7 linked regions of the Oryzias latipes genome follow. The protein of the gene in region 1 interacts with the protein of each later gene in a pairwise test. Links are inferred from orthologs where the notes say so. Each region holds a gene or a part of one and is shown in the gene's direction. Other genes may lie near its edges.

What was found.
Region 2: the proteins of sumo1 (region 1) and sall1 interact in a two-hybrid assay, tested with the Homo sapiens proteins (2 studies listed by BioGRID, with this or other methods). The link is inferred for Oryzias latipes from reciprocal best matches to the Homo sapiens genes SUMO1 and SALL1.
Region 3: the proteins of sumo1 (region 1) and rad54b interact in a two-hybrid assay, tested with the Homo sapiens proteins (2 studies listed by BioGRID and IntAct). The two-hybrid records come from large-scale screens. The link is inferred for Oryzias latipes from reciprocal best matches to the Homo sapiens genes SUMO1 and RAD54B.
Region 4: the proteins of sumo1 (region 1) and atf2 interact in binary tests that used the Homo sapiens proteins (3 or more experiments, as listed by UniProt). The two-hybrid records come from large-scale screens. The link is inferred for Oryzias latipes from reciprocal best matches to the Homo sapiens genes SUMO1 and ATF2.
Region 5: the proteins of sumo1 (region 1) and topors interact in a two-hybrid assay, tested with the Homo sapiens proteins (2 studies listed by BioGRID). The link is inferred for Oryzias latipes from reciprocal best matches to the Homo sapiens genes SUMO1 and TOPORS.
Region 6: the proteins of sumo1 (region 1) and zcchc7 interact in binary tests that used the Homo sapiens proteins (3 or more experiments, as listed by UniProt). The link is inferred for Oryzias latipes from reciprocal best matches to the Homo sapiens genes SUMO1 and ZCCHC7.
Region 7: the proteins of sumo1 (region 1) and sox2 interact in binary tests that used the Homo sapiens proteins (3 or more experiments, as listed by UniProt). The two-hybrid records come from large-scale screens. The link is inferred for Oryzias latipes from reciprocal best matches to the Homo sapiens genes SUMO1 and SOX2.

Annotation. Positions count from the first base shown.
Region 1 is NC_019860.2:9,899,585-9,904,003, reverse strand, and holds sumo1 (small ubiquitin-related modifier 1), read left to right. Parts: upstream 1-1,890; 5' UTR 1,891-1,911; coding exon 1,912-1,923; intron 1,924-2,297; coding exon 2,298-2,372; intron 2,373-2,624; coding exon 2,625-2,702; intron 2,703-3,514; coding exon 3,515-3,586; intron 3,587-3,662; coding exon 3,663-3,731; 3' UTR 3,732-3,752; downstream 3,753-4,419. UniProt on the Homo sapiens protein: Ubiquitin-like protein that can be covalently attached to proteins as a monomer or a lysine-linked polymer.
Region 2 is NC_019861.2:30,112,700-30,117,505, forward strand, and holds the start of sall1 (sal-like protein 1), read left to right. Parts: upstream 1-1,923; 5' UTR 1,924-2,750; coding exon 2,751-2,823; intron 2,824-4,806. UniProt on the Homo sapiens protein: Transcriptional repressor involved in organogenesis. Plays an essential role in ureteric bud invasion during kidney development.
Region 3 is NC_019874.2:17,754,023-17,758,658, reverse strand, and holds the start of rad54b (DNA repair and recombination protein RAD54B), read left to right. Parts: upstream 1-1,631; 5' UTR 1,632-1,874; intron 1,875-2,353; 5' UTR 2,354-2,378; coding exon 2,379-2,516; intron 2,517-2,783; coding exon 2,784-2,964; intron 2,965-4,042; exon of another isoform or gene 4,043-4,636. Other genes in the region: RING finger protein 151-like, read right to left, coding at 1-32, 215-232. UniProt on the Homo sapiens protein: Involved in DNA repair and mitotic recombination. May play an active role in recombination processes in concert with other members of the RAD52 epistasis group.
Region 4 is NC_019879.2:22,381,339-22,385,902, reverse strand, and holds the start of atf2 (cyclic AMP-dependent transcription factor ATF-2), read left to right. Parts: upstream 1-1,339; 5' UTR 1,340-1,415; intron 1,416-2,040; 5' UTR 2,041-2,068; coding exon 2,069-2,116; intron 2,117-2,963; coding exon 2,964-3,060; intron 3,061-3,160; coding exon 3,161-3,279; intron 3,280-3,382; coding exon 3,383-3,508; intron 3,509-3,832; coding exon 3,833-4,011; intron 4,012-4,564. Other genes in the region: atp5mc3 (ATP synthase F(0) complex subunit C3, mitochondrial), read left to right, coding at 50-240, 331-445. UniProt on the Homo sapiens protein: Transcriptional activator which regulates the transcription of various genes, including those involved in anti-apoptosis, cell growth, and DNA damage response.
Region 5 is NC_019859.2:15,568,696-15,573,480, forward strand, and holds the start of topors (E3 ubiquitin-protein ligase Topors), read left to right. Parts: upstream 1-1,499; 5' UTR 1,500-1,649; intron 1,650-3,960; 5' UTR 3,961-3,963; coding exon 3,964-4,785. Other genes in the region: ndufb6 (NADH dehydrogenase [ubiquinone] 1 beta subcomplex subunit 6), read left to right, coding at 103-147, 236-301. UniProt on the Homo sapiens protein: Functions as an E3 ubiquitin-protein ligase and as an E3 SUMO1-protein ligase. Probable tumor suppressor involved in cell growth, cell proliferation and apoptosis that regulates p53/TP53 stability through ubiquitin-dependent degradation.
Region 6 is NC_019859.2:12,787,755-12,791,848, forward strand, and holds part of zcchc7 (zinc finger CCHC domain-containing protein 7), read left to right. Parts: coding exon 1-63; intron 64-1,390; coding exon 1,391-1,589; intron 1,590-4,094.
Region 7 is NC_019862.2:18,600,905-18,604,463, reverse strand, and holds sox2 (transcription factor SOX-2), read left to right. Parts: upstream 1-1,964; coding exon 1,965-2,933; downstream 2,934-3,559. UniProt on the Homo sapiens protein: Transcription factor that forms a trimeric complex with OCT4 on DNA and controls the expression of a number of genes involved in embryonic development such as YES1, FGF4, UTF1 and ZFP206. Binds to the proximal enhancer region of NANOG.

The DNA of each region.
Region 1 (4,419 bases):
TTCGTTGCACTTTACACCTTGGTTAACAGTGGCTCGGCTCGCCGTTGACCCTGGAGTTAAATCAAGCTTCATGAGAAAACACAATTCCTTATAACCGGAAGTACTTCAGTGCACCTACAAAAGTAAAAGCTTAAAGTGGGTTTCCTAATAAACATTGGCTTATTTATTTTACTTTGACAAAACCTCAACGGAATTAAGACTGCATTTAAACAAACTTCAATAGATGTGGGATCCTCGACTTCTAAATTTGTTTTGTTTTTTTTTAAAGAATGTCTACTATAAACTCTGCCATTCCAGAGTGATGGGGGGGGGGGGGGGCTTAAAAATGCCTTGTAAAAATCTAAAACAACAAGAGTATTTTAATTGACATTATATTAATTATCAACATGTGAAAAGTCTCTAATAAACTATGATTCTTCAAAGTTAGAATATTGAAGATTACATCAAATCAAACTTTATTTATATAGCTCTTTTCCTACAAAAGCACAACCGAACGTGCTTTGCACCAATACAAAATAAATAAATAATATAAAAACAAACACGAAAACTATATATACATTTAAAAAACGCCTCTCTCACCCTCCGCGGGTGGTTTCTCCTCCAAGCTCGGGTCCTCTACCAGAGGCCTGGGAGCTTGAGGGTCCTGCAGTATCTTAGCTGTTCCTAGCACTGCGCTTTTCTGGACTGAGAGGTCTGAGGTCTTTCCAGGGATCTGTTGTAGCCACTCCTCCAGCTTGGGGGTTACTGCCCCGAGTGCTCCAATTACCACAGGCACCACTGTCACATTCACTTTCCATGCTTTCTCCAGTTCTTCTCTGAGTCCCTGGTATTTCTCCAGTTTCTCATGTTCCTTCTTCCTGATGTTCCCATCGCTTGGCACTGCCACATCCACCACAACGGCTTTCCTCTGTTCTTTATCCACCACTACAATGTCTGGTTGGTTCGCCATTACCATCCTATCAGTCTGGATCTGGAAGTCCCACAGGATTTTTGCCCTCTCATTCTCTACCACCTTCGGAGGTGTTTCCCATTTTGACCTTGGGGTTTCCAGTCCATATTCTGCACACATGTTCCTGTATATTATTCCAGCTGCTTGATTGTGGTGCTCCATGTATGCTTTCCCTGCCAGCATCTTACACCCTGCAGTTATGTGCTGGATTGTTTCAGGCGCTTATTTGCACAGCCTACACCTTGGGTCTTGTCTGGTGTGGTAGATCTGAGCCTCTATTGCTCTGGTGCTCAGGGCTTGTTCCTGAGCTGCCAGGAGGAGCGCATCAGTGCTGTCCTGTAGGCCAGCCCTCTCTAGCCATTGGTAGGACTTCTTGATATCAGCCACTTCAGTTATGGTCCGGTGGTACGTCCCATGCAGGGGTTTGTCTTCCCATGAGGATCTGTCCTCCAGCACTGTATCCTCTGCTCTCCATTGCCTGAGACATTCACTGAGCACACTGTCGGCTGTCGACTGTTTCATCCTCTCTCTCTCTCTCTCTCTCTCTCTCTCTCTCTCTCTCTCTCTCTCTCTCTCTCTCTCTCTCTCTCTCTCTCTATATATATATAGTTATTTATTAAATTATCATAAAATGCTATTTTTTAAGCCCATGTTAAAAATATATAAATTTAATCTAAACATATATATTGCATTTGAATATTGAACAGGAGTAAAGACTTCATAATACTGGAAAAGGCAAGGTTTTTGTATGAGTGTGTGTGTGTGTGTGCGCGCGCGCGCTTTTCTTATGGAGACAATCCGCTACAAAACAAATTCCTTCACGCGACTTTTATTTTGAACAGCCCTGCGTCACTTCCGTTTGATGTCGCATTCCTCACAACATAAAGCAAGAGCCACCGCTAAAAGCTAACGCTACACCTTGAAGGGATTCCCTCCCCCTCCCGCACACAGTCAGGATAAACATGTCAGACACGGTAAGAAAAAGAACGTTGAAGAGTTCGAATGATTTTCTGTCAACACTTTACTAAGAAATCGATAATGTGTTTGTTATGGACGCTGCCTCGTACGTGATTATCTAACAACATGCTAACCGTTAGCTGTTCTAGCTGCAGGCCTCTGACTGAACTTAGCGATTTTTTTTTACCCTCCACGTGAGCTTTTGTGTAGTTTTTTGAGATTTTTTTTTGGGGGGGGGGTCAGAACTGGTGCTGGCGGGACCGAACCCACACTCGTGTCTATGGTGGATGTTCTCTGTGTTCGTGGAACCCGCGGAGTAAACAGACGGGCCTTCCTCGAAAGCGTGCTAGCGGTCGCATCATGTAGCAATGTTTTGTGATGTTTCTGTCAGGAGACGAAACCTTCCAATCAGGACGGAGGCGACAAGAAAGATGGAGAGTACATCAAACTAAAAGTGATCGGTCAGGTAGGTTGTTTTTGTGTCTCTGCTTTTGTTGTCACTACTGTCTGCATTTAGAAATAAACCGTATTCTACTCCATTTCAAATAAAGTTATGGCACGTGGTGGTGTCTCTATTATTGTTTATAGAAGGCTATTATTTTTGGTCAATGATTCTGCCAATTCTTTATCATTTACAGATGTATTCGTTTTAATGCTGGAAGTTGTTATTGTTTTTGAGCTGCATCACCTTTTTGTGTGTGTCCGTTTCTGCCCACAGGACAGCAGTGAAATCCACTTCAAGGTGAAAATGACCACACATCTAAAGAAGCTGAAAGAGTCTTACAGCCAGAGACAGGTATGAAGAGGAAGACGCATCGCCACTTTTCCAATGACAGCCTTCGCAGATCCATCCAAATGCAGTTCCTTATGGTAGAACACGCCATTATTTAAAAAAAAGATAACTCTGATCATCTTTTGATCTATTGCAAAAAATAAAAAGTTCCTAGTGATTTTTATTTATTTTTTTGACACGCTCTCCCGCTAGCTTACTAAGACTCCCAAGCTAATATTAGCAGTGCAACAAAAATGGCGAGCAATATCGGAGCTATCCAGCTGCACAGTTTGGATCCGGATGCTCGGACGAGGAAAATAAAAAAAAGTTACACGAGTCTATTTGTCTGCAAGGGAGCCTTGTGGCTTGCCGTAGTAGCTTTGGAATCATACCTGCAACCTTTTTCCAACTAAGTTTAATTTTGTCTGCTCCTGATTCACAACGATTTTAAATATAAAAAAAAAATAACCCAATTTTAAATGTAATTTTAAGCTTAATTTTCTTTAACCCTTGTGCTATCCTAGGCCCTTTAACATTAGGAGTTGGGTCATCTAGACCCACTAGACAGTGCGCTTAACCTTTCTTCTTCAATGATTTGTGATCTTCACTGGTGTCCATGGATTACATGAAATCTTTCCACTTTTGTCATGGTAGGGAGAACACGTCAATGTAAGGGTGGGGTCATCTAAGATAGCATAAGGGTTACACCTAAAAGCTCGTCTATGTAATCGTTACTCGTGCTCCTAGCGCCTCGCGGCGGCGTTCAAGGAGAGCTGATTGAAGGAAAAATAAAAATCTCCTAATGGTCTAACAGCAGAGGATGACGTTTCTTTCAGGGAGTCCTGGCGAGCACGCTACGGTTTCTTTTTGAGGGACAGAGAATCGCAGATAACCAAACCCCAAAAGAGGTAAGCGACACTCGCAAGAGCGAAAACCAAGCACTAGTGGTCACTAAGGTTTGTGTTTTCTTCTGTTTTTTTATAGCTGGGCATGGAGGATGAGGACGTCATCGAAGTTTATCAAGAACAGACCGGCGGACTTTGGAATCATTAAAGCCACAATTTCTGATGTTTTTTTTTCTTCTTTTTTTTCCCCTTTTATTCATGTTTTTTATCATTTGGTTTTGTATGTATGTATGTATTTCTGTTAAGTTTCAAACCATCTGAATCAAAAAAGCAAAAGGACTCAATCAGGGCTTCCATGTGTGCGGTCGGGGAGGCGGACAGACCGAGGACTCGAACCTGTGGCTCTGCCGTCGGAGGACACTCTAAGATTTTTACCGGCAACCATTTCGCTTTCGTGTTTTAAATTTTTATTTTATCAACCTTGCTGGAATGATGTGCTTTTGCAGGAAAATGGTTTTTAGGAGCTTCTTCCTCCCCAAAATGTTTTTTAAAATTGTCTCATAGAGGAAATATGTCAGATGGCATTCTGGGTAAGTGCGGTTACAGAAACCGTAAAAAGAAACCGATCAGAAGCATACCAGAGCGGCATGCTTCTGATCTTTCCATCTATTCAAAACAAAAAAAGTTGTTTTCCTGGAACGGACCAAAGCGTCTGTCCAAATGAAGGGGGGCGGGGCTAAACGAGGGAGCAGGTCCATTTCCTGTTGATCTATTCCACTCTCAGATGAGGTTGGGTCCTTCTTTTCTCCGGGTCGCCAAGTCGAGTGTTGGATCAATAAAGCAGAACCCGTTGCCCCCCCTCCCCTTCATCTCCCCTAAACTTCAGCTGCAGAACC
Region 2 (4,806 bases), on another chromosome or scaffold:
ATAAATCAAACTTAAATGACGGAGTGCAATAAAGACCAGCAGCTTTTGATGCAAACGAGTCTCATTCATGTCTGTGATGAGACTGCATCCTCCTGATGGCTTTGCCTCTTCTCTCTTGCTGCTCCTGTTATCACACTGTGCACGCTCACACGCGCAGCTGACCCAGATGAAGGCCCTATTCCGCTAGTTGGGGATTCTCTCTGCGTAGCATCAGGGGCCGCGGAGGAAAAGCCACCACGTGTTGAACGGACAGGGAGGCTCTGCGGGAGGAACGGCTCCGGTGCGCGCGATCCTCCGCGTTTACTGCCGCATTATGCGCTTAAACGCGCGCAGTTTGTGGGCTTTATGATCAATCATGACGTGTCAGAGATAATAGTGAATGATGCCACGCGGGCCAGGCCCTGTCTGATGCGGTGCACGCGATATTGATTGCGCGTAACAGGCAGATGCGCAGTTTTTGTGCGTCAGACCGCCTTCAGTCACTTAAAAAAATGTTTTGCCGAACATCAACTGGGGGAATGCATTTATTTTATTCAACTTCTTTGATTTTGAACATTTATTCACTTTACATTATATTAAAAAACGAAAAATAAATATTTTTAAATATTGTGAAAAAGACGTTTGATTATTTTTCGCAGTTTGCCTAAAAACACAAAAACTTATTGTAATGCATTTCTAGTGAAAAAGTTTGTGTTGCGTCCAGAGGGACCCCAAGCTCTATGCATCCTTGTCATTCAGCCCGTTTGGTAACACTGTACCGTCGTCGTCGCGGGTGAATCCTATTTAAAACGTCCACCGCTCGGCTGGGCTGCAAATCAGCTTGTTTACAATCTCACACCAACACTCACATCAATTAACTGGAAATTGATTTTCCCCTCTCTGCAGTCTTATATATATATATATATATATATATATATATATATATATATATATATATATATATATATATATATATATATATATATATATATATATATATATATATATATATATATATATATATATATATATATATATATATATATATATATATATGATCACTCAGTGACATCAGAGGTTCTGTTTGATTTTCCTCTGCACGTTCTTTTTTCCGTCTTTTGTGATGAATAAGTAAATAGTGAGACTAGTCGAAACTAAAAGATAGCTGACACGGGAGTGGACCAGATCCATCTAGCCTGCAGCTGCTCTTTAAATATTTAGTGAAAAATAATGGCGTCCAAGACATCACCTATAGTAACATTATTATCTTCATTTCTCAAAATCAGGGCGACTGAGAGCTTCGTTTGTCTTTTTCGGGTGATAAATCGACACCAGCCACGTGAAGCTCCTGCGGGACCTTTTACCCTCTTAAAACATCACAACTAAGGCGTATTTTCGTTGGTATAAATAATAATATAAATTGTCATTTTGAAATATCGAATGCAATTGTAGTTATTTTTCTAACCTAAAGAAAACATAAACAACAGAGCGACATTTCAGACAAATCAGTGAACCGTGTATTTTTATTTTATTTTAAAGAAATGTCGCGACTGTTGATTCTCCTGGTCACAGAACCCAGATGGCCTCGGTAAACACAAGTTTTGCACTTAGAAAAAGACAAATGCAGATAAGTTTGAACCTTTGGGTGCGTTTCAGGGTTTCTCTAACAAGGAAATGTTTTGGAAACTAAGTGAACGCGCTATTTGTTCCCATCCGGACGCACAGACTGGAATCTTTGCTGTCTCCCCCACCGATCATCCAGACGCGCGCAGCACGTTTGGTTCTGCTGCGCGCTTTCAGAAAGAGAGAGAGGATTTTGAGAGGAAGGGGTGTGGTTGAGATGGGTGGAGGTGAAAAACAGCGTGACTGAATAGCCCATTGACCAATCACGTCTACAGTGGGCGGGGCTCCGCGTTGTCCCACTGCCGCACGGGCCCTCAAAGTTTGTTTATTCGCGGAATGCGGTGTGTGATGAAAACGTGTTAGTAAGTAACTCCCTTTCTGCCAATAATAATCATATGAAAGTTGTTTGGACGCCAAATCACAGCGTGGACTTTTTTTTTTTGTTTCATTACTGGAAACGCGTTCCGCCGGTGCCATTTACGCACGGACCATGCCCGCGCGACGCTGCGTTTCCATGCGCCGGCAGCCGCGCTCGAAACTCTTCACAGAGTAGGTGTTCAGCACAACAAGAGCCGAATTACAACAATCTTAATGCGAGAGCAGAGGGCGGACACTTCGAGAGCAGAGAGAAGAAAGTTGGTTGGAGATCGCGGAGGTTTGCGCAGCGCTCTTCATCTGCGGGAAAGGAAAAGAGCAAAGAAAAAAGCTGAGATCGGCGCTTGATCAGTGTGAGAGCTTGAGAGATACTCTTGCAAGAATGGACTCAAGAAGCTGACATTCCCCTGTAGTCAAGATAAGCTTTGGCTTGGCTAACAGAAGGGGTTAAACCGTATCTAAAGGGAGTGTGGAAAAGCCAGCCTTTCTTCCCCGTACGGATCAACTCATTGGGTGGGAGCTGAGAGAGAGACAAGAGTCCCCAGCAAATCAGGAGCTAATTGATTAAAGAGACTTCATTTGAATAGGAGGGGGGCTGGCGAGGTGCCAATCGCCTTTCAAAGAACCCCCCCTCCCTCCCTTATGATTAATCGTAGAGCATTATTGATAATCATAACGGGGCACATGCGCGGTGGATGGGCTCGATTTACGTAATTTTTCAGGAGGTTTTGTAGTCATTTTTTTATTCTTTGCCTGCTGATGTGCCAGCCAGCATGTCGCGGAGGAAACAAGCGAAGCCGCAACACTTCCAATCCGACCCTCATCTGCCTTTATCAGAGCACAATGGTGAGTCCACGCAAACTATCGCTCCTTCTGGAGAAGCGCCGGCTATTTCTCACACTTTTAGCTTGGTTTTTGTGCAAGCGTTCCTGGTTAAAGTTAATAGTTTTCAAAGTTTAACTTTACTCTCCTTTTTTTAATTAATCTCCTTTCAATTATTTTTCTTTACGATTTTTAACAAAAGTTTCGTTTATGGAGTTTCTTTGATTGCAAAATAAAATTTAAAAAGACGTTTTTTTATCATATTTCCTATTTTGTATTAAAATTATTACACAACGTTTTTCACTTAAAACAGAAAAAATCAGCTTTTGTAAAACTCACCGACGCTCTCCACGCGTTTCTAAAGTTTCCGAACTTTTCTTAAGTAAATATTATAATCTTAACACTTAAATCTTAAACAAAAGTAAGACATACGCTGAAAACTCACTGTTGGTGGAGTTTTCGTGGGCCCCTCTACAGTGGTCAGTCTCGATGCGCGGACACGGACCACCCAGTCGCGCCAGCGGGACTCCAAATGGTGCTGCGTCCCGGACACATAACCCCCTCTTCCGCGTGTTTCAGTTCGGCGCTGCGCTGATCAATCCAAAGCTGTCGCAATCCCGTTTACCTTATATCATTTTTATCAGCACATCCGTGCGTAAATATGCACATTTGTGCTTTTTTTGTCCTGTGTTTGGTAAAAAGTGGCTCCAAAGTGCGCGAAAGAACTTGCAGCTTTTTTACAAATCCTCAATGGTTCCGTTACTCATCCTTTTTGCACAGATAGAAGAAGCAGAAATAACTTAATCACTTTAAACACACGCAAATACGAGTAGAGAACAACTTTCTGGTTATAATAAAAATCGTTTGTATTTAATTTTGTAGATTGTGTTTTTTATTGTATTAAAATAACAAATCTTTCTGTATTTTGCACGCGCAAGTTCAGGCCTTAAAACTTTCCAGAGCCTTAACAGAGGCGAGAAAAAAAAATCTACTGTGAATGCTTTGTTATCAAAGTGTCGCTTTGCACCTTGAATGAAAAGCAGTGTTTGGAAAAAGTCCCCTTGCGGGTCCAAATCCCTGCAACTCTGCAATCTGAGGATCTCAAAGTCTGAAATTCAAAACATTTTTAAAACATATTTGTTCTCAGTTTGGTTCTGGAAAATTTATACAATTGATAAAGAAAAAGGAAAACGATTAATTTGTGTGTTGCGTCATCAAAGTAAACGGCCAATTCTGCAGTTCGGTAACACTCATTCCATTTTTGCATTTTCTTATTTTTTGCTGTGTGTTTACCGGCAGAAGGGGATTGTATATATATATATATTATTATATATATGTACGTTTTTTAGAAGGATCACTTGAATTTGTTAATAACCCATACACAAGGATGATATATTTTTCCCCATAAAAACGAACAAAAATGAATATGACACTTATTAGTGTTTATTCCCTGGAAAATCATTTGTGTGGTGAATAATCTCAGCAGGGCCTTGTGTTTGGTATTGAAAAGCATGTGCAGCTCATTTTGAATGGGGTTTTTTTTCTTGTAGGAGAGATAGTCCTGCATGGAAGAGTATTTTCAGACTAGTTCATGTGATTTTTAGGAACTTGGTGGATAATGCAAAACCTGCTTATTTCCTGAGTGCGGTTTTCATTTTCTGCATTTTCCTCCAAATCTAATAAAGGAAGAAGTCACTTTTGTCACCAACTTCAGCAGTCTGCAAAATCCTACATTTCTCCAATTACACCCAATGGTAGCATGTTAAAATACCTGCAAGTGTCTTGTGTGTGTGATTACGGGAGCAGGGAGATGTTGTCTTAGCATTAAGGGGTGTTTTGCTCGGACGGAAGAAATGTGCTGCTTGACTTGTGAGGAGTTGTGGTAGGCGGAAGTGGAAAAGAAAGGCGTTGTGTTTGCAGCTGAATCGAGGGATGCTGAGGGCTGTAGCTGCTGGGAGGTCGGGGTGAGAGCCACAGAGGGGGGGATGTTTAGCTGTTTTAACCTTT
Region 3 (4,636 bases), on another chromosome or scaffold:
CAGGAGCTGCAGTAGGCATGTTCACAGGGTGCCTGAAGGGGGCGTTCAAGCACATCTCGGCACACACAGCACAGCAGACCTTCATTCACGTAGCCTACAAACCTCTCTAGATCATAACCCATCCTATAGAGGATCAAACAGGTTGCACAGAGGTTGTTACATTTCCTGTGCAGTTTACTTGTTTTTCTACTTATTTGCTTTTAATCTCTCTTACCTGAGGATTTGACTTCATCCAGCTCCTCCTGTATCTTGTAGACTTCACCTGCACCTGCTCAATCTATTTGATCACACTGTAGAGGCTCTCCTTCATCCTGAAGCAGAGGGTCTCCTGCTCCTCCTCTTCCTCTGGGAGAGCGTTTCTATGGAGAGCTAACTCTGACAACAATGGTGCAGGATACAGCCAGGCAGGCAGCTGTCGGACAAGAGCAGAGGGACAGACAAAAAAGCAGTCAAGTGTTTCACGAACTGTCTAAAGCCCAGTTGTTACACAGCCCTTAGAGATAATAGCTGCTCCCCTTAACGGCGAAAGTTATCTGAGGTTTCTCTGTTTGTCTAGAGCTGTGGGATTATCGTGGATTACACTCTTTTCGTCCCTGATTGGATTGCAAAGTACACACCATCGGATAGCACGTAGCACATGACAACAGGAATCAAAAGATCACCTTCACTGCCCATACTTATTACCCCTGTCCTTGAGTGTAATGGAATAAAGTCGAAAAGAAAGTAGTAAAAAGACCTTTCTAAAATGGTATGAAGTAAACCAAAGACTTCACAACTAAATGAAGTTAAACTTTCCAGATTTTCTAAACAAAATAGAGTTGGAAATATTAAAAATAGTGACTATTCACTAAAAAAAAGCTGCTTTTAATTCCACCAACAAACGGTTCAATTAATATTTGTTCAGATTTAGTCATTACTTTTCACTAAAATTATTATTTTGTTAAATGTACACCTCTATGCTCGATTTGCTGCTGTCATGGACCACAGAAAAGATCTGAAATACGTTTAGGAGAGCTACTCAAAATGTGTGGACATAAACTGGACTAATGCTTGGAATGTTAGTAAAAAATGTTGTTTAAATAACAAAATAAAAGAGGTGTCCTTCAAAATATCGCATTGTATATATCCTGCCAAAAAAAGAAGATTTGTTGATTTGTTGTTGAAAGAGGAAACCATTTATCACCTGTTTGTGGACTGCATACATACAAATATGTTGTAGATGGAAGTGGAAAATTATATAGAAAATTTAACTAAAAGAAACTGTACAATTTTTGGATAAAGAAATTATTCCGGGTTATCTTAATGACAATGTAGACAAAGATTGTATCTTTATTACATAGATGTTTTCATCATTTGCAAAATTCCATATTAATTAAGCCAAATGGTCCAACTCCAAACCTAAATTCCAGCATTTTTTGAATGAAATCAATCAGTACTGTAACATTATCAAACAACTGCAAAACCAAAAGGCAATTCGAACTGATTTGATTTTTTTTTTTTAATTTCATACACTGTATACGTATTTGTACGTATACATAATTTTTTTTTTTGTTTTGTTTTCTTTCTGCAATGTACATATTCAGTAACCCCTGAGACGTTCACTATTTTGTTCTATTGTGTTATTTGTCAATAAAGTCTGAAAAAAGAGGTTTAGGCATGCTGAAAGGATTTGGCTGTCCAGGTGTTCAAATCAAACATGCTTTTTTCTCATTTGACCACGCCTTTTGTTGACTTTTAACCAATCAGAACCCCCAAATAATTCAGCGGGAGACATGTTTCGGAAGTTGCCTTTTCCGCTTACACTGTGGGAAACTTATCAAGTTGAATTGGACGATATTTAAGTAATTCTCCAAAATAACATTTTCTCGTCGGTGGTATGTATCACGCATTGTTACAAAATATCATTACGGCCGATTTAAACTTTCGACTTGACCACGTGATAACAGTTAAACACAGCCTGTCGCTGACTTTACTTACTTCAAACTAGTCTAAAAGTAAAAATCAAAAACGACAAACGGAACCTGATAAAGGACAAAATACATAAATTGTCACTAGAGTCAACAAAAAAGTTTCAAAACTGTTTGTTGAAGAGTTTATATTTATATTGCGTTAATAGAAACACATTTTCTGATCCTGAGTTGCTAAAACGTAGAAATCTTTAGTCGGTTAAGGTATTCTAAATGCAAAAACTAAAAAAAATCACTAGTCTTTCTTGGTAAAGCATGCCTGTTTTAGATCACTTTTTTTCTTCTATACCTCTTTTTTCTTTAAGAATTTCAAAGGTGTAGCTATTGAAAAATTGCCTATGTTTTCCCCATTGTGTTTCTAAAATGTAGTTTATTTCTGTTTGTAGGGGGCACATTGACCTTTTATAAGGAATGAGGCGTTCAGGAGCACCCAGTCAGCTTTTGGGGAATGCAGTGAAAAAAACACGATTTGTTTCACCAGCTTCACTACTTCAAACTGAATCAAAGCCTTTGGCCCCCAAACCGGGTTTGGTGAATGCATTGGATAAAGTAAGTTCCTATTCACTGTGTTTAATTCTCAATTTTACTAATTTCTCTTTTTTTGAGTAGCTTTTGCAGTTTACCTTTTGGCATATCCCTTCAGGGGTCACCACAGTAAATCAGCTTTTCTAAATCACTAGAAGCAAAGAAATATCCACGTTCAGCGGTTTGACAGTCATATTTTTTTGCCTCATGTAAATTTAGTTGCAGGGATTACTAGGGACCAAAATGAGGACTCAAGTGTGTGTAATTAAACTGATATCACTTCTTTTGCAGGTCCAGAGAAGTCTATCTGTGGCAGTGGAAAGTGAAATAAATGTGTCTGCTAAAACCAGCCAAACTGCCCCTTTGTCACGGGCTCTGGCTCGAGTTCTCAGTGCTACTGACAGTAAAGAAAACGAGGCTGACACCAAATCCGTCCCTGGATTAAGAGATTTAACAGAAGATGAAAATAAAGGTATGTTTCTAATTGTTTGTGTAAATTTATAAGGCAGTACTACTTCTGTTGTATCCTAATGTTTTGGGGAGTCATCAGTAAAATAGTCCCTCTGGTCTACAGTAGAATTTTTTTTTTGCCCTTTATTTTTATACTTAATTTTTGTTTTTTGGTGGTTTTGATCTGACTCTTCAGGTAAACATATTTTGCAACCCAGTTTGTGTGTTTCATACAGCACTTTTTATTCAGTCTGACATACAAGTTTAATTTATCTACTGAAAAGATGTCAGTGTTGTAAAATAATATGCTTGACGGAATTAAATAATATCTGAATTTACTTTATATAACACTTTCAGCTAAACTGTAGAATTTATTCATCATCAGCATCAACAATATATATTTACTTTGTTTAAACTTATCACTTGTATTTCCTTAATTATCATAATAATGGGAAAACAATTTGGCTTTTTTTCTCTAACCTGCTCCACCAACATAAGCATGTCCCTTACAAAACTTTACAGACACATACACACACATACTTCCAAAAGGTTTTAGAAAACAATGCTTAAACATTCAAATTACCATTAAAGCTGACAGATCTAATTAGAACTAATACTGGATTTGGTATTGATCTTATAGACATTGCTAACGCTTTTAGTCAATGACATGACGTCTCACCTCCTGGGACAGACTGTCCAGGGTGTACACACCTTCGCCCAGCATAACCGTTACAGGTACTGTTCAATTCAATTCAATTTTATTTGTATAGCCCAAATTCACAACAACAGTCGTCTCGATGGGCTTAGTATCGGTAATTGAAAAAGTGAAACATGAACTCAAAAGGATCATGAATACAAAGAGTTCAATAGGAAAATTCTAAAATGAACTAACAAACTGACTAAGCTATACTGGCATCCCTGCCCTTAAACCCCTTTCACGGTAAGGAAAAACTCCTAAAAAAAACGGACTCCGGAAAAAACGAAGAAACCTCAGGGGTGCCTCCATGAAGGAGGGATCCTCCCCCAGGACGGACAGGCGATTTACCAGAACTCTTAGAGAAGAATTAACTTATCTAACTCTACAACTACATATTTAAAGTCCAGCAGACGAGCTTTATCCAGACGGAGTTGGGGGGACAGTAAGGGGCGAGAGTCGAGCAGGAGACAGGATCCAGAGCCAGGTGTCAGGGCAGGAGCAGAGACGAGGTACACGGTCAGGTGCAGAGCAGAGACGAGCCAGAGGCAGGATCCACAGCCAGGTGTAGGACAGTAGTACTGTTTGGTGATTTGGTTCGGACGGGTATCAAATTGCACAGCGCCGCTGAAATCGCGCTGCTGCCAGACCTTTGCACCACACCCGTCGCTTAAATCACACCACTGGACCTCAGCACGCGTCTCTACCATGTAATTAACTTTGAAAACTGGCTGCCTCTGCCGCGCCACTCGCGTTCGGTGTGAACACAGCATTGCCCTATCCATAAGACATGCTCCTAAACTTAACCCTTCCTCTGGGTCCGTGCGGCCAAGAAAAAAGTTTCAGCACTGGCTGCACGTATTTGGAAAATTACGTGTGAATAGTCACTTTCTTTCAGGCATTTCATTGTATTTGGTGTGAATTGAACAATCTGCATGTGCTATATTAAAACAGTTCTGAGCCACAGCTAGTGTTGCTGGTGCAATGTAGCCTAAATTAT
Region 4 (4,564 bases), on another chromosome or scaffold:
GTGGTGTTTCTTTGAAGTGAATGTTTTCATTTTTTGTCTTTCGCTGCAGAGCTCTGTTGCTGTGATGCCACAAAGCCCCCTCACACAGGTCACACTGAGAGGCTTCCAGACCAGTGCCATCAGCAGGGACATTGACACCGCCGCCAAGTTCATTGGTGCTGGAGCCGCTACAGTCGGAGTCGCTGGATCTGGTGCTGGAATTGGAACAGTGTTCGGTAGTCTCATTATTGGCTATGCCAGGTTTGTTGCCATTTGGTCACTGTGTACATGTTTTTTTGGGGTACAATTCAAATGTTTTCTTTACATTTATTGACTTCTTTTTGTTTGCAGGAACCCATCTTTGAAGCAGCAGCTGTTCTCATATGCCATCCTGGGTTTCGCCCTGTCTGAAGCTATGGGACTATTCTGTTTGATGGTTGCTTTTCTGATCCTGTTTGCAATGTAAAGCACTGCCCTCCCAACACTTTCATTACAGATGTGACTACATATTTTATTGTGGCTTCTAAAATTGTTCAGTGTTGGTGTCATGGAAATGTAAATTTTTCAAGTCTTTCCGACACAGTCAAAATTAAACAAAACATGTACAAACATAACAATGTGCGTGAATTTAATACATGCATTTGAGTATTTATCAGTGGCAGCAACGTCTATGTCTGGAATATCATGGTAACTGAAAGCAGTTTGCTCTCACAAATGTCAGAACATCTTCTCCCCTTGTGAATCAACTTGCTTTCTGAGAGTTATATGGGGTCCACCGTCATAAGCACTTAACTCAGTTGCAGTTAAGTAGAACTGTAAGAGGCAACAAGTGATTACTTGCTTTTGTAAATCACGTTGAATAAATCTAGATTGAATTATAATTTGGGTTTTTGAATTTATTTCCCGACCCCAACAGGGTTTCGAGGTTTGTCAAATGAATGAGTTGCCACTAAAACGGTCCATCAGAACAAAATTCTCAGTTAAAAAGTAATTGTCATTTGGAAGTCAGTAAATTAGTAATATTTGGCAACAAAGTTGACCAAATGTTTTTTTTTTTTTGTAATATAAATTACCCATGTGGTTTGTTTACTGCTTCAATCAAAAATAGTTCCTTGTGATTTAATTTAATATAGAGTACACGATAATGTTTCTCTAAATTGAATTGTTTTAAAGAAATTTGGCCTTTGAGTAAAAAAGGAATGTTAACTTGAGGTGGTTCCGTAGACTGTAAATAAAGTTGTAATGCAGTAGAAATGATGGCAATTATTTATAAAATATTGAATTTATGGGTAAATGGGTAAATTTATGGGTAAATGGGTTTATTAGTGTCCATTAGTATGTTTACGGCGTTTGGGTTAGTGTGACGTTTACGGAAGAAGAAATTGTTTTCTCGCGATACTTTGGGGTTTGGGAAAACAACGTTTGTGGCTAAAGGGGTAAGTAACAACTCAAATTGAAAGCGAGTTTTATTACAAATGCAAAAAAGGGCACCCTTTATCTGAAATCGGTGTTATTTTCTTCCAAGTGAAATTAATCCCCCTCAAATTAAATACCAAAAGGTTATCTGTTTAGTGATTTGTTGGTTCTAACATGGCGACGGCTGTGCGTTATCTCAGCTCAGGCTGGAGCGGAGGATCGGATCATAATGTAGCTTTTGTTGTGTGATGACTTTAGTCGGAATTAAACGTGAAACTTTTTTTTCCAACAAAAAACATGCATAATTTCTTTGTTCGTGTTGAAAAATACACAATCCGAACGACCACACACCGAACGACCCTGCACTGCATCACCGAGCTAATAAATAAGCACAGACAGAGCAACCCCACCTCCTCACTGGCTTTGTCCAAAATCTTATTTGTCCTTTCACTAGATTTGCCCTTAACAGTCCCACTCGAGTCTCGAGTCATTTCTACTATTATCTAAAAATTAACCCTCTAACCCTCCTTTTGATCAGCCACGATTACGTGGTTGTCTTTTCTGTGGCTGTTGAATTTATTTCTGTTTTAAATGGAAATTAAGTTAATTGAGATGAAATATGTTGTTTTTATTCATTTATTGTAGGACAAAAATATAGCAAGAATTTCTTAATATGAGTGATGACAAACCCTTCCAGTGTACTGCTCCAGGATGTGGACAGGTAAGCTGACATAGTTCTTCATAGTTTTTATTTCTTTTTAGTTAGTGATTCAGTTATTTTTATTTTTTGAAAAATAGAAGGAAAAAAACCAATTCCAATGTGTTGTAAATTTATATGGTGGAGTTGTTGAGCTTACATCTTTACATTCTAGATTATTTAAAAACGTTGAAGGTATTATAATATTACATGTTTTGAGATACGGTAGTTGTATTTCTCCAGAGACTAACTTTAATATATATATATATATATATATATATATATATATATATGCATCAAATATGGTAACCAAATATTTGGGTACTCAATGTGTACATTTTACATACATTTGCTATCTTTGCTGATAATATCGAATAATTCAACTAAAAAACGTAGTTTGTGCATTCTTATCAGACATTTTAAAAGCTGAAGTTACTGTTTGAAGGATTTGTGATTATTTGTGGTACAGATAAATCCACTTAAAAACAGAATCACTGGAGTTAATAAAAGCCTGAGTCTGCATCCAATTTGAGGATTCACAAAAGGGTCAAATAATAAAAAGCATCTCTTTTTTGAAGTCACATCAACTGTTTAATTTCTAGTGCCAAAGTAAAGTTGGCTAAAGGGTAAAAATATGTAATTATTGTGGTAAATGTACGCGCACAGTCACAATAAACATAAAAACACACATTAAGCCTATGTTTATGTTTATTTAGGGTTTGATTTCTTTGGATTTTAGCAATGCACCGTTTACTTTTTGAAATTGTTAGTATTTTAACATATTTAACATTGTGAGTCATTGTTGTCTCTCAAAGGATATGCAGAATAAAGTTGTTTTTTTATTCATTTATTTCCTTTTTACCTTGCTCAGAGATTTACAAATGAAGACCACTTGGCTGTCCACAGACACAAACACGAGATGACACTAAAGTTTGGCCCAGCGAGGACCGACAATATCATAATTGCTGGTGAGTCCTTCTTAAGTTTTATGTCTATAGATGTTTGTGTGTTTTTGCCTCCTTAAGTGTGATTTTTTTCTTCTTTTATCTTTTCTTTTCTCTATTACAGATCAAACGCCGACACCCACTCGCTTTTTGAAAAACTGCGAGGAAGTCGGGCTTTTCAACGAACTTGCCAGTCCTTTTGACCATGACTTCAAAAAAGCAGCTGAAGATGACTTGAAGAAGGTTGAGTTTGTTCTGTAACTTCTGTCAAATCTTCTCTTAGGATGATCTCTGAAGTCCAGAGTTTATATCTGCTTTTTTTCTTTTTCTTTTAACCTTCCCAAAGCTACCTCTGGATTTGTCACCTCTTGCTACACCAGTCATACGCAACAAAACTGAGGAACCCGCAGCTGTAGATGCACATCGGAACAGCCCCCTTCCTCATCCTGAGTCCACCACAAACGATGACAAGGTAGATTTTTTTCTGTTTAGTTAGCTCTCTAATGGGTTTTAGGAGTGCTATTAAACATGAATAATTAAGAATCCTCCTGTTTCTGTAATCATTCATTTACTATAGAAATTGTACTTCTTCTTTCACCTGCTTGAATTCTTCGATTTATTTGTTTTTTATTTTCAAACCCCACTCTCTTTTTTTTTTTTATTCAAACACTGCTCTTAATTTTGATTTGGAAATCCTAAAACCAACCAAAAAAATATTTGCAAAAAGTTCTTGTAACTAACTAAGCTGGTGTTCACTAAACATTTCTGCAGCTAAGGTCTTGTATGATGTTTTCAGGACTTAACTTTGCAGCCTGCCTCACTGCCAACATCCACTATAGTCCATCCTGCATCCCTCCAAGTTCCCAATGTACTTCTAGCAACCACGGACGCTAATGTTGTAATACAGCCAGCTCTCCCATCGCCAACATCTAGCTCTGTTATTACCCAGGTTCCATCCACTAATAGACCCATAGTGTAAGTAACGGAATGCGTCCATTTTTAAAACAAATCTTAGTTTTTAGTTTTTTTTAATCATTTTTGTGTAGTTTTGTGCATTTTGTGAGGCATGTGCTTGTATTTTATGTTTATTTTTTTAATCAATCTGCACTCTGGTGTAAGTCTTTCATTTTGTTGTAAACGCCAAATCAACTGTGAATTCTTCCAATTTTAGCGACATCTTTAAAAAGCTACTCACATTATGTACTGTTCAAAAATATAGATTTATTTTTAGGCTACTATTTTACTTCTAACACACCAGCATAAGTCAACATTTGGAATCCTGTAGCGTAGATTTACTTTCTTGTAGGTCTGCACAATAAGTCGCAAATTTATCGTTATCGCATTGTCAAGCTGTGATATATGCATATCGCAAAAGTCGGTGAAAATGGCAATAAATGTTAACCCTAAATGTGTTAAAACAATCTCATGGCAGCTTAGAGTATTTAACATTGAAATGTTTCCCTTTATGCATTTGACCAAACGGATGGAACTCTTCTATGTGAGATGCTCGCCCTCTGATGTAGATGAG
Region 5 (4,785 bases), on another chromosome or scaffold:
TATTGTGTCTGTTGTGCATTTTGTTTAGATGTTCACTTCAGTTAAATGATCAGAGCCGTACACCTGACAGCACATGCTAATTATGAATGCTTTGTTTTCCAGCAAAAGCCCTACGGCATTGTGGAACTAAAACCCAGACTGTTTCCTGTAAGTTGTCTTCATTTTTGGCTTTCTGTTTGTGGTTATTGTATTCATCATAAAATATATGTATATAATCAACCTTTTTTCTGTTCAGGGTGACACCATTCTGGAGACCGGGGAAGTTGTTCCAGATCTCCCAGAGACTCATAGCCATCATTAAAATCAGAACTATTTCAGTCATTTTCTTAAATTTCTGTTGTAAAAACTATGTAAATTCCATCAAAGTGTCAATAAAGGCTAAAAATATAACTTCACTGGTTTCTAGTGAAATTATTTCTACAAAAAAAGATTATATTTCAATTAATTGTCATTTATTAAAGAACATAGAAATGCAGCATAATGCAACTTGATGCATTAGGTTTTGCAGCATTAAGGTCAGAATATTACTCATGGTGATATTAGTGACAGAAAGATTTAAACTTTTCTTAGGATAAAGTCAGTTTGCAGATATAATCATCTAATTCTTATACAGTAACTGTTAACAATCATGGGAAACAAGGACATTAGAAGATAGATTTAGATTTTGTGTTGTGATTTATGACCAATGCATTAATCTCCCACTCCCATCATTTTTTGATCTATTGTAAAAGCATTTCCAGTGGTCTTTCAGTTATGAGAAAGCAGTTTTTAGGCAAAAGTTAAAAAACTACAGTTTTCTAGGACAGTTTCTGCAGAGCAGCAGTAGTTCATCAGAAATTCACCTCTGAGTTGTGGACGGAACTGTTGGCGTGGAGTAAGCCTTCACTCATTTCCCATCATCCCTTTCTTTACTCTCTCTCTCCCCCACTAGCTTACAGCTCACAACTGGAGCCAGTTATACACTTATAATGCAGATGCCATCTCAGACGAGGAAAACGAAGACGATCATGGATCTATTTGTCAGCTAGTGGATGTTTTAGAATGAAGGGTAGCAGGGAAATTGTGGACCTGTCAACTGTAGCACCTACGTCAGCGTTATAAGATTTTTCCAACAGCAGTTTTTCATCTAACGAACTCAAGACGATTTGAATAAACAAATACTCCCAAATGCAATTTTGATCTTAATTTTCATATGCATGTCCTCCATTGTGAGAAAAATGCTACAGGAAGATGTTATAAACCCCAAAAACAGGATTTTGGGGTCTTTAATTTTCTTTTAATGGGGAATGGTACTCTTTTCATTAGATCGTTTAAAGTTAGACGTGCACTTATAGGCCAATAATGGGCAGTAATGCATTATTGGAAAACTGTTAATGTTTTCAATTTTTTGGCCATTTCCTACGAACATAAAAATGTAAACAAAGTTCCTGTCTACAGTCAAGCTATAATTTCCTGTGTTTGGACTTGTTGACATTTTATTTTGAAAATCGGAAACCTGTACCGACTATTAATAGCTTCCGTAATGAAGTCTGAGGAAGGAAGGGTTAATACGACCGTTTACTTTTTATTTTTTTTTAAATTGACTGTGTTTCTACCAGACTAGAGGTTTAACCCATATCCTGTGGCACACGGCTTCAACGAAGTCGAAGGTAAACTCGACACCTTTTTTATGAACTTACTGAACCGATGTGTGGTTGTTTTGTTAGCTCTGCTGGCTAAACTTTAGCCGCTGTGTGTGCTAGCCAACTTAGCTAGCCTGCTAAGTTTTATTGGGGAATGTATCCCCTTATTATATTATACTTACTGTTTATGTGTTTGTAAAAAATAAGTCTAGAAATATTGGAGAGGCTTATATGTTTGTGTCAAGCCTATACTTGGGTTTTGATGTCATTAGCTGCTCAAGACAAGAAATCAGGCTATTAGCTTAAACAGAATCAGACAAACAAAACACGAACGTTACAAATTACAAAACGACATTTGACGAAATATTTGATAGAGTGCGAAAAGCTCTTTATCCTGACGCTCTTTCAATTGGAGAAAAGAATAGACTCAGATAATCATATTTCGGGGGACAGTGTTAAAGTATGGCGATGACGATTATGAAAGGCTGCCATGTTATAACACGTACAGTAGACTCATTCTCTATGTTTATTTTAACTATACATACGATAGAAACAGAAGGTCAGTGAAAGTATTTGAGGCTTTGGGTAATTTAATATTAGTTAAAAACCGTGTTGATAAAGAAAACAACACACATCTTTTACCATTAAGCGTTCCAACAACTAGTGTGATGTCACTACATTTAGCATGACCAGGACAACCTTGCATGAGAAACCTGCCTCACGTTTCTCATGTAAGCCTAGACACTAGTGTTTTTCATTCTTTACCAAATAAATGTAAATAATATCATATATTTGGATTGTATGTTGAGTAAAAATGCTAATTGGGCTTTGTCACTGTATATGTAAAGGTGTTGTCCATATCTGTGATCTATGCACCATATGTTGTTGGATGTTCAAAAGTTCAAAAGTAAACAAGAGTATAAGTACAAGGCTGCGGGAGAAGAAAGGAATTAAGTGTTATATGTCTACATCTAATACTTAAAGCATAAAATTGACAGCTCAGGATTTCTGTTCAGCCCAATGAGTGTTACATTTCCCCTCAAATTCATGCCAGACCCAAAGTGATCCAAACTGCACTGCATATTACTTCATTAATTGTGATGTCAAACTTGTAAGTTTAAGATTTCTGTACCAATCCCTATTTTACTTAGAGCTAGAGCCAGATTCCTAAACCAGCTCCATTTAGTTTCAGAAGATCATGTTTAGGTATGAATTAATATTAATTACTTTTCCAAATTAGCCCTTCAAACTTACATTTGATTAGTTTAAAAATAAACAAGAAAATGTTAAATTTTTTCTTTTAAAATTATTATTATTACTTTCTTTTGAATGTATTTCTTTATTTTACTTTATTTATTTTATTATTATTCATTTTTTTATTTTTATCTATTTTTAGTTCTCCATTTATTTATTTTCTTTTTAGGTGTGTGTGTGTGTGGGGGGGGTGCTAGTCCATTAGGGAAGTCAGGGCATGAATGGAGGGGCTGGACCTCCTGCCCCTCTGGGTTGGCACGGGCCCCTTCCTTGCTGACTGTCTCTCGGCGCTGTCACGGCTTTGGCCCTTGTCTGCGGCTGGCTTGCCGCCTCCTGACTGCCTGGCTGCCCTGGGAGGGGGGGCGCCTACCGCGGCCGGCTGGGGGAGCCTTCTTCCCCTGGTTGTGCCCATCCGCCTGCTCATCCCCGCTCCCACCCAAACAAACGTTGCACACAGGCACATAGGGCTCCAGAAACTGGATGGGTGGGACATGCTGGCGGGGCTTACTGGGGGTGACTCTCTCTGGGGTCGCATCGGCGCCTACCCTCCATTCCATTCCACTTTTACTTTTACTTTAGACACCCTGATTCATCTAGGCCCTCTTTTTGTGATAGTAAAACCTGTCCAACACAAAAGGACTTCAGCTCTAATCTGTTTGCTCAATATTTTTAGGACTAAGTTTAACAAAACCAAAATGATTGAATTGAACTTTTCTTCGAAAATGATTTAGTGATTCATTTAGTTTTTTTGCAGTGATACTCAGCCTTAGTCATCCCTAAGATTGAAAACTGAGAAACTATGTGAGCACACATGCTAACAAATGTTAACTTGTGCATAAAAAACAAAAGCAAATGCTTTATTTAGATTTAATTTGTTCACTGCCAATTTCTTGACTAGTAGTCTCTGCATGAAGCCAAGTGAATGTTTTCAGCATTTAGTGATTTCACATCTTTTTTCAAAATGTGTTTAAGTCTCCTCTTAAATTCCCCTGCATAAATAAAAAAAGGACTATACTGATAAGATCATAAGAAATTTTATAAGGTTGACCTCTATTTGAATTTTTTTTCTTCATTTTTTTTCCAGATCATGTCGGCTGTCAAGGTCGCCCTGCAGCACGCTCAGAAAAACGGCAGGAGAAAAACCTCTGAAGCGATGTCTGTGGAAGTGTCTCCCGACTCCAAGTGTCCCATCTGTTTGGACGGTTTTCACAACGTTTCTTACTTGGATCGTTGCCTGCACAAGTTCTGCTTTCGCTGCATTCTTGAGTGGTCCAAGAACAAAGCCGAGTGTCCACTCTGCAAACAGCCGTTCAATACAATCTATCACAGTATAAAATCCGAGCAAGACTTTCAAAAGTATGAACTGAAGCAGCAAGTGGAGAACTCCTCTTTTGGGTATTTCGAGGGAGTGAGGTTCAGGTACCGCACCACTCTTACCGGTGTCCATCGGCAGATGCGAGGAAGAACCTCTCCGCCTCCGGATAACGGGGTGATGTTTGAAGCTTCGGCGCATCCTCCCTTTCAGCGGCAAGATCGCTACATTCGGCGCATGATGGCGCGGTTGGCAGCCAGAAGGAGAGCCGAGAGCGAAGGCAGGACGGTGAACAATGTCAGAGAGCAAGAGATGGTAAATTTCCGAAGGGAGCTGTACAGACAGGGTGTCAGGGTTCGCAACGTTCGAGACGGCGGCCGCTCTCGGGACACCTCCGCCGAGTTCTACCGCAGAAACCCCGCCTGCCTGCATAGATTGGTGCCCTGGTTAAAAAGAGAACTCACCGTGCTGTATGGAGCTCATGGCTCTTTGGTCAACATAGTTCAACATATCATCATGTCACGCATCACACGCTACGATATGGAAGACGGCGCGATTCAGGAAGAGCTGAGGCCGTTCCTCCAGGCTCGAACCGAG
Region 6 (4,094 bases), on another chromosome or scaffold:
GGAGTCTGTTCCTCGAAAGGCGGAGCTTTACCCAAACAACAGACTTCCACTCCAGCACAACAGGTAGACGAGACTGTAATATACCCTGAATCAGAAATAAACTAGTGTTCCATCATTTATTATGGGGGGTACGTTTCTAAAAATATAACCCACAATGGGTGAAACCCACAAGGTAGGTTCACAGATGCTTTAGGGCTGTAAAACCCCTCACTACACACTTTATACCCTTTTTCTCAAAAAGACATGAACATTTTCAGACTTTTCTCTCTTGTTTAAACTCTCGAAGTTCAAACATTTGTAGAAAAATAAGTCCAGTCTTAGAGAATGAAAATAAAGATCTGATCTTCATGGAAGATTTATGTGGACTTGGAGAGCTGCATGTATCTGTACAGGGGAAAAAAGGAGATTGATTGACAAGGTTTCCGGCCAAGCAGGATGCAGAAAAAAAGTGTGCTGTTTTTTTTTTGTTTGTTTTTTTTAAAGTTAGGCACAACTGTAATAGTTGACACGCTCTCCCGCTATCTTACAGCCCCTCATAGGCCCAAGCTAACATATGTGGTCCAACAAAGATGGCAAGCAGCATCTGAGCTTTCCAGCTGTACAGTTTTGAGCCAGATGTCGGCTCAGACGAGGAAAACTAAGACGACCTTTGAATCTAGTCGTCTACAAATAGATGCATCGCAATGGAGCAGAGCAAGGAGCTTGTGGCCCGCCGATTGTAGCGTCTACGTCACAGCAACAGGCTTTTTCAGACTTTTTTTTGTTTGATTCACCACAATTTGAATAAAGAAATACTTAGAAACGCAATTTCTAACTTAATTTTCTCTATGCATGTCCTCCTTCATGAAAAAAATGACAAAAACGTTTGAAAGACACCAAAAACGCCATTTTCAATAGAGTGGGTCTTTTAAAGGTTTTCATTGGGGCCTTAAACAGAAACTCCAGGACTTGATAACTGGAAATTTAACCGTCAACCATTTCAGATTTTCCTTAAAGACTAAAACCAGTAGCAGTTTCCCCTTTTTAGCCTTTTATCAGCTTAAGTGAATCTGTTGAAAGTGAAAAGCTCAAGCACAGTAAGCACTAGAAAAATGAAGTGGGTAATGTGTGTCAAAGCAAATACCTGTGAATTCTTGGATGCTGGTTTTTCCAATGAAATGACTGGGTTGAGCAAGTTTTCTTGTGTCACTCTCAGGGCATCTGTGTAAGTTTGATCTCTCCAAAAACGCCCCCTCGTTCCTGTTTTAGCATGTCGCGTATTTTACGTTTTTTTTTTACACGATAAAGGGGGTTATTCTGGTTTGTGGAATGGCAGATTTTGCTGCTCTTTGTTGGACAGGCTGACCTGCAGCAGTGTAAGCTGAAAAATGTTTACTGTCTGATCACCCAGCAAACCAAGACGAGGAGCAGAAGTCCTGCCGTGCCAGTGGCCGTATTGTGCAGCAGTTCAGAGTCCGAAACCACATCGGATTCCTCCGATTCATCAGATTCTGAGGATCTGGAGAACTGGATGATTCTGGGTCAAGGAAAGCGGGACGAGGACCAGTCCATCTCGCTTCACCTTGAAGGGGCTTCTGACAGCAGCACAGGTGAGCGTTTGTTCTTATGTGTCAGCAGGAAAACTTACTAGAAAATATTTATAATTTGTTAGTTTTTTGGTGCATTTTCACAAGAAGGATTTGAAGGATGGACACCTTTAGTAATGACTTGTACCATGCCCCTCAGTTTACACACATCAAAATGATTAGGAGCAGGCCATGTTGTCTACGTGGTTAAAAAACCTGTATGTTTGTGGACCAGCTGTGCTTTGAAATTTGTACATTTTAGCATTCCTGGCACTGTCTGTTTCCTGGTTGCTCTCCTCCCTGATGCATCTTTAAGTATGCCTGTGTGCATTATGTATTAATATGTGTGTGTGGGGTGGTGCTTATAAAATATTCAATTTCTAATCAGCATGCATGTGTAAATACACACGGATACCAACAGTCGTAACACTTATGCCGAGAACAGACAAACAAACGGGAAAGCGGGAGTGCGTGGGAGGTGTATGTGTGTGTGTGTGTGTGTGTGTGGGGGGGGGGGGGGGGTAATCAGAAAAGGAATAAAAATGTTTCCTGCAAATCTCTTTAGATCTACATTATCTTAACCTGCAGCCTCAGCAGCCCCCTCCCCCCCCACCTCCACACTCTCCCATCTTTCTTTTATCCCATTTTCTCACTATTGTCCTCCCATCTCTGTCTCCCTTACCATTTTTTTCCCCCTCATTTGAATTTCCCTGGGCTGGTGTTTCTGCAAGAGTGCCCACTGTCTCCTCTACACACAGCAAGGCTGAAGAAAAGGGAGGGGGGGTCTGGAGCTGGTGGGAAGGCTTGAGGTCTTGGCCTGGTTTTGGGAGGATAGGAGGATTTTAGGTCTCTGTCTTCCTGTCTCTTGTCTGGCTTCTCTCTGTGATCTTTGGAGCTTGACCTCATGTCTGCACATTGGGGGTTACGGGTGTGGAGTAGAAAGAGTCAAGTGAGAGGAATGGAGCTGGGCTTTGTCAAAAAAAAAGAGGGAGGGGGGCAAATAAAGGCAAGGAAATTAAGGGACGGGCCTCAGTAGTCTTGAACCGCACTCCCATTCCTTGCTCGGTGACAAAATCAAAGCGAATACTGTGTCTGTTGTCGTCAGCTCGCAACAATGCCAAAATGAGTTTCCTACATGGCTAAAGTCCTCTTGAGGAGAGAAAAGGATCCTTAGAATTTATTCTGACAAACATTTATTTTCACTTCCAAATCAATCCCTCTAACCACAAATGTAAGGTTTGTTGGACAACTATAAATAGTAATTAATATATATATATATATATATATATATATATATATTTTAATTGAAATACATAACAATATGATAAACAGACCTATTTTTATAATAGAAAAAGAAACAAACAATATAATTCATCAAAATTAATTGTTACATATTATTGATAGTCTCCCACAATGCAATTCACCTGTGAGGCCATTATGATAGAAAATCTAAAGTATTTTAGGTGAACATCTTTTTGTAACTTTTTCTTTTGTTATTTCAGTTTTCACCCTTCAGTCTCCACCTTTTCTGATCTTGCCTTTGGTTGGAAATCAAAAAGTCTCCCCAGCGATGATGCCGGCTTAACATCTGACTCCTTGACGATACAATTTAGCCGACGCTCGCTTCAAACGTAGTCGATGAAGTTAAGGGCTTTTGAGTTAATCAGCTGATGCTCATAAGCCATAGCAGAAACAAACACTGGAGAACAAGGAGGGAATGCTGGGAAAACATGACGTTTCTGCTGATTTCATGCCACTCTTTATATACAGATGAATACGCAGGGCCTTTTCCACTCAGAGAGGAGATGTTATTTCTGATGGTGCTTAAAAAATAAAGCAAAAACAAAACCTTTTGACTATATTTGATTTTATTAAAGTATAGTAATACAAGAAAAACACAATTTTGGTTGTTCTTCAGCAAACATGAAGCATTACAAGAGGCAGAGATTCCCAATATCCTCCTAAAGTTTAAAATAGAATATAGTGCTAAATTACTAAAATTAAAAAAGACCTTAAAAAACAACCATATTTTGAACCACTAATGATGCCAACATTTCAAGTTAAAGAACTACCTCCTTTTTTGTTGTTTTAACTTATAAGAATAGAAAAAAAAAGAATAAAAGTATTTCTGTAGCTCTGAGTTGGCATAGGAAGGATATTTAAAGTAAAATTAAAGACATTTTGCACCGTTTATTGATTAGTTTTCTCCTTTTATATAGAACATTGATACACTTGGAAAAGTGGCTGTCTAGCACCTGGCTGTGAGGGGCAGCTGTCGGTGGGTGGATCTGTGAGGACGTTGGATGAGTTAAAAAAGAAAAGATTAGAAAAGGCGGATAAACTGGAGCTGCCCGCTTGTCTTGAAGCTATGCAGCAGCAACCAAACGGAACAAGAGATGGAAAATGGGCTTCCCAAGATTCAAGCCGCCTGCCTCTCCCACCCAGAAAGGGTGCACGTCCTTGTGTAAAGGATCCAGGGTATAGGCGGGGTGTGCTGAAGCCCAACTTGAATCCAGGGTGGTTAAACTT
Region 7 (3,559 bases), on another chromosome or scaffold:
GCTGATCTATTCGCTTTCAATTATGATTTAATCTAGAAAAGCTAAATTAAATTATTTCAGGTGTGCGGAGATACTTGATCTATTTTTAATTAGCCTTCTGGGATTGTCTGAAATGAAGATCATCACCAACGTCTGTGAACTTTGGCGGATTTTAAACGAGCCGGTGTCAGAAAATAGTTTAAGGCTGTATCTAAGTTGTGTATTAAAATGCACCTTTAAAACTCTATAATGTATTTGTTGCTGCTCTCCTTGAAAAAAGGCCTGAAAATGCGGTTGTTTGCTGTTCTCCTTCTGTCCACTAGGCGGCACTGGTGTCACGCAGCAGCACGCTTTGCGGCGTTTCTGGATGGAACTCTAAACAAGTGGCACAAACACTTTCAGCCTCATAAAACTTCACTTGTTTTCTGTCTGTTTGAGCCACGCGAGTATGTGGTTTGATTTCGCACTGCGTTTGATTCCAACTTCACCTCACAATAATCCCAGTCTGGCCGTTTCTTGATCCAGGACTAATTGAAGCGCAGGTGAAGGCCGCGTTTTGATTCCCACTAATTGGCTGACACACTTGTTGGAACTCCTATGAATGTGTAGATCTTTTGTGCGAACACACTTTCATCTTAAAATATTCCTCACCTTTCATTCGGTCCCTGTCTCGTGTCTCCGGTGCGCGTACCACGCCACAAAGACCCATGCGTAACTGCAGCGCTGGCACTGTGGAAGTGGAAGTGGAGTTGGGGTCTTTGTCCGGACAGATGTAGCGACAACATCCCAAACAAAACGCGCTTATTTGTGCTAAGATGAGGCCGTCTGCCTTCTGTGTGTGTTGGCATTCAACTTCACCTAAACAAAAGGACTGGGGGAAACATCTTGGATTACCTTTTCTCTTTTCAAGGCTAAAAAACGAGCCGTGGACACCCCCCCCCTCTCCACCTTCTTTTACGCACACATTCACCCCACAGCTCTGCTGTTCAGAGCTTTCAGTGAGTTAACTCACAAAGTTTCTTTGCGTGTTATGTTATTGGGCCATTAAGTAGGGTTGATTAAGTGGCTTTTTCATTTGGTCTGGATATGCCTCATATTTCATCTAAAAAACAATTTAGAATAAAAATAAATCTGTTCTTTTTTAAAAGAAATAGTGTCATGTTGCTTCAATATGTCTAATTTAATTTTAAAAACGTATTCAAAAAGTAGTCTTTTTTTTTTACTTGTACTTATTAACTTTTTACATTTTGAGCTTTTAAAAGTTACAAAAAAGTAATTTCTGATTTTGAAAATGCTGCATCTCTGCGTCGTATAAACTTCCACCTAAAAGGTGTAACGTATTCACAAAGCGCTATCAAACATAGAAATTCCCACAAGCAAGATGAAATAGTAAATATGTACTTAGTATTGTCTGATATGGGCAGCAGGAGCCGGAGTGTACGCCTGTGCCTCGCTGCGCTCCAGACTCCGCCCTTTTCCGACCACACGCTCTCCCATTGGCGCGCGGGGCTCGCTCTGATTGGTCAGGCCGAAGCCATTTATTCACTGACAGCCCCTTCACATGAATGGTTGTCTATTAACTTGTTCAAAAACTATCTGGAGTTGTCAAGGCTCAGGCGGACTGAGGCGAAAAAGTACAGTTTGTTGATGCTTTTTGCGAGCAGCCGCGGGAGAAGTTTTGTGGACACAACATTGCCGGGACGTGTTGGGAGAAGGCTCTCTGTCACACACACTCACACACACACGGTGTGACACGCTGAGTGGGAGTGAGAGGGGGAGAGTGTGCGGAGACGCGCGGCTTGATGCTCGTTGTTTTTGTCCAGAGAAAAGTTGCATAGAAAATCGGCAGGTAACTGAAAGCGCTCGTGCGCTCCTCTGTCTGCGCTCAGCTTCTGGAGAGAAGCTCCTTTTTTTTCTTTTTTCTTTTTTTTCTTGTCTTTTTTTTCTGCTCGGGAGCTCCCAGCGAAAAGTTAAAATTTTCCCTGATGTATAACATGATGGAGACTGAACTGAAGCCCCCTGCTCCCCAGACCAACACGGGGGGCACGGGGAACACAAACACGTCCGGCACCGGCACCAACCAGAAAAACAGCCCGGAGAGAGTCAAAAGACCCATGAACGCCTTCATGGTGTGGTCCCGAGGCCAGAGGAGGAAGATGGCGCAAGAAAACCCCAAAATGCACAACTCGGAGATAAGCAAGAGGCTGGGCGCAGAGTGGAAACTTCTGTCAGAGAGCGAGAAGAGACCTTTCATCGACGAGGCTAAGAGGCTGAGGGCCCTGCACATGAAGGAGCACCCGGATTACAAATACCGGCCCCGGCGGAAAACCAAGACCCTCATGAAGAAGGACAAATACACCTTACCGGGCGGGTTGCTGGCTCCTGGAGGAAACGGTATGGGGACCGGGGTCGGTGTCGGGGTAGGGGCCGGCCTGGGCGGTGGGGTTAACCAGCGGATGGACAGTTACGCGGCGCACATGAACGGCTGGACCAACGGGGGCTATGGCATGATGCAGGACCAGCTGAGCTACCAGCACGCAGGTCTGAACGCGCACAACCCGAGCCAGATGCAGCCCATGCACCGCTACGACATGAGCGCCCTGCAGTACAACTCCATGACCAGCTCCCAGAGCTACATGAACGGCTCCCCGACGTACTCCATGTCCTACTCCCAGCAAACCACGCCGGGTATGACCGCCCTGGGCTCCATGGGGCCCTCCTCGGTGGTGAAGTCCGAGTCCAGCAGCTCCAGCCCGCCCGTCGTCACCTCCTCGTCTCACCGGGCCGCCCCGGGCTGCCAAAGCGGTGATCTGAGGGACATGATCAGCATGTACCTGCCCGGGGCGGAGGTCAGCGAGCAGACTGCCCAGACCAGGCTACACATGTCCGGCCACTACCAGAGCACCGTGCCCGGGACGACGATCAACGGCACGCTGCCGTTAACACACATGTAAGGGACAGAGCGCAGGAGGGGGGCAAAAGCAGACTTTTATAAAAGCTACTGTGGACTACTTAATGTTGGACTATTTTTGTACAGAAAAAAAATGGGTGAGAAAAAGTTGTATAGAAATCTTCAAGAAAAAAAGGGACTTTTTTTTCTTTCCTTTTATCCTAAGGAAGCATAGAGGAACGGTAGATCCCCTCTTCACTGTTGGATGAAGTTTGGAAGACTAGAAAGTGGGAGTCGCAATCAAATGTTTTATTATTGCAATCACCTTTTGTACAGTATTTATCAAAGAAACATTACAATCAGATGAAATTGTTTGTTAATCTGCAAGAGGTTGCATTTTTATTTTCCTTTTTTAATTATTATATATATATATATATATAAAGCTGGTTCTGCAGAGAACATTAAAAGTGAAAAATAGCAGAACAAGAGTAATGGAAGTGATCAGTTATGCTTCCAATTAAAACATTGGAATAAAAAGGGACAAAAGATGCAGGTATTTTTTTTTTTCATTTAAGGTCTATATTACTAAACATTTTTTATTTCATTAAAAATGTAAGACACTTCTTTTTTTGTCATACAATATCAATTTTAGATTGTTAATTTATATTTCCGTCTCCCACTTTTCAGCTG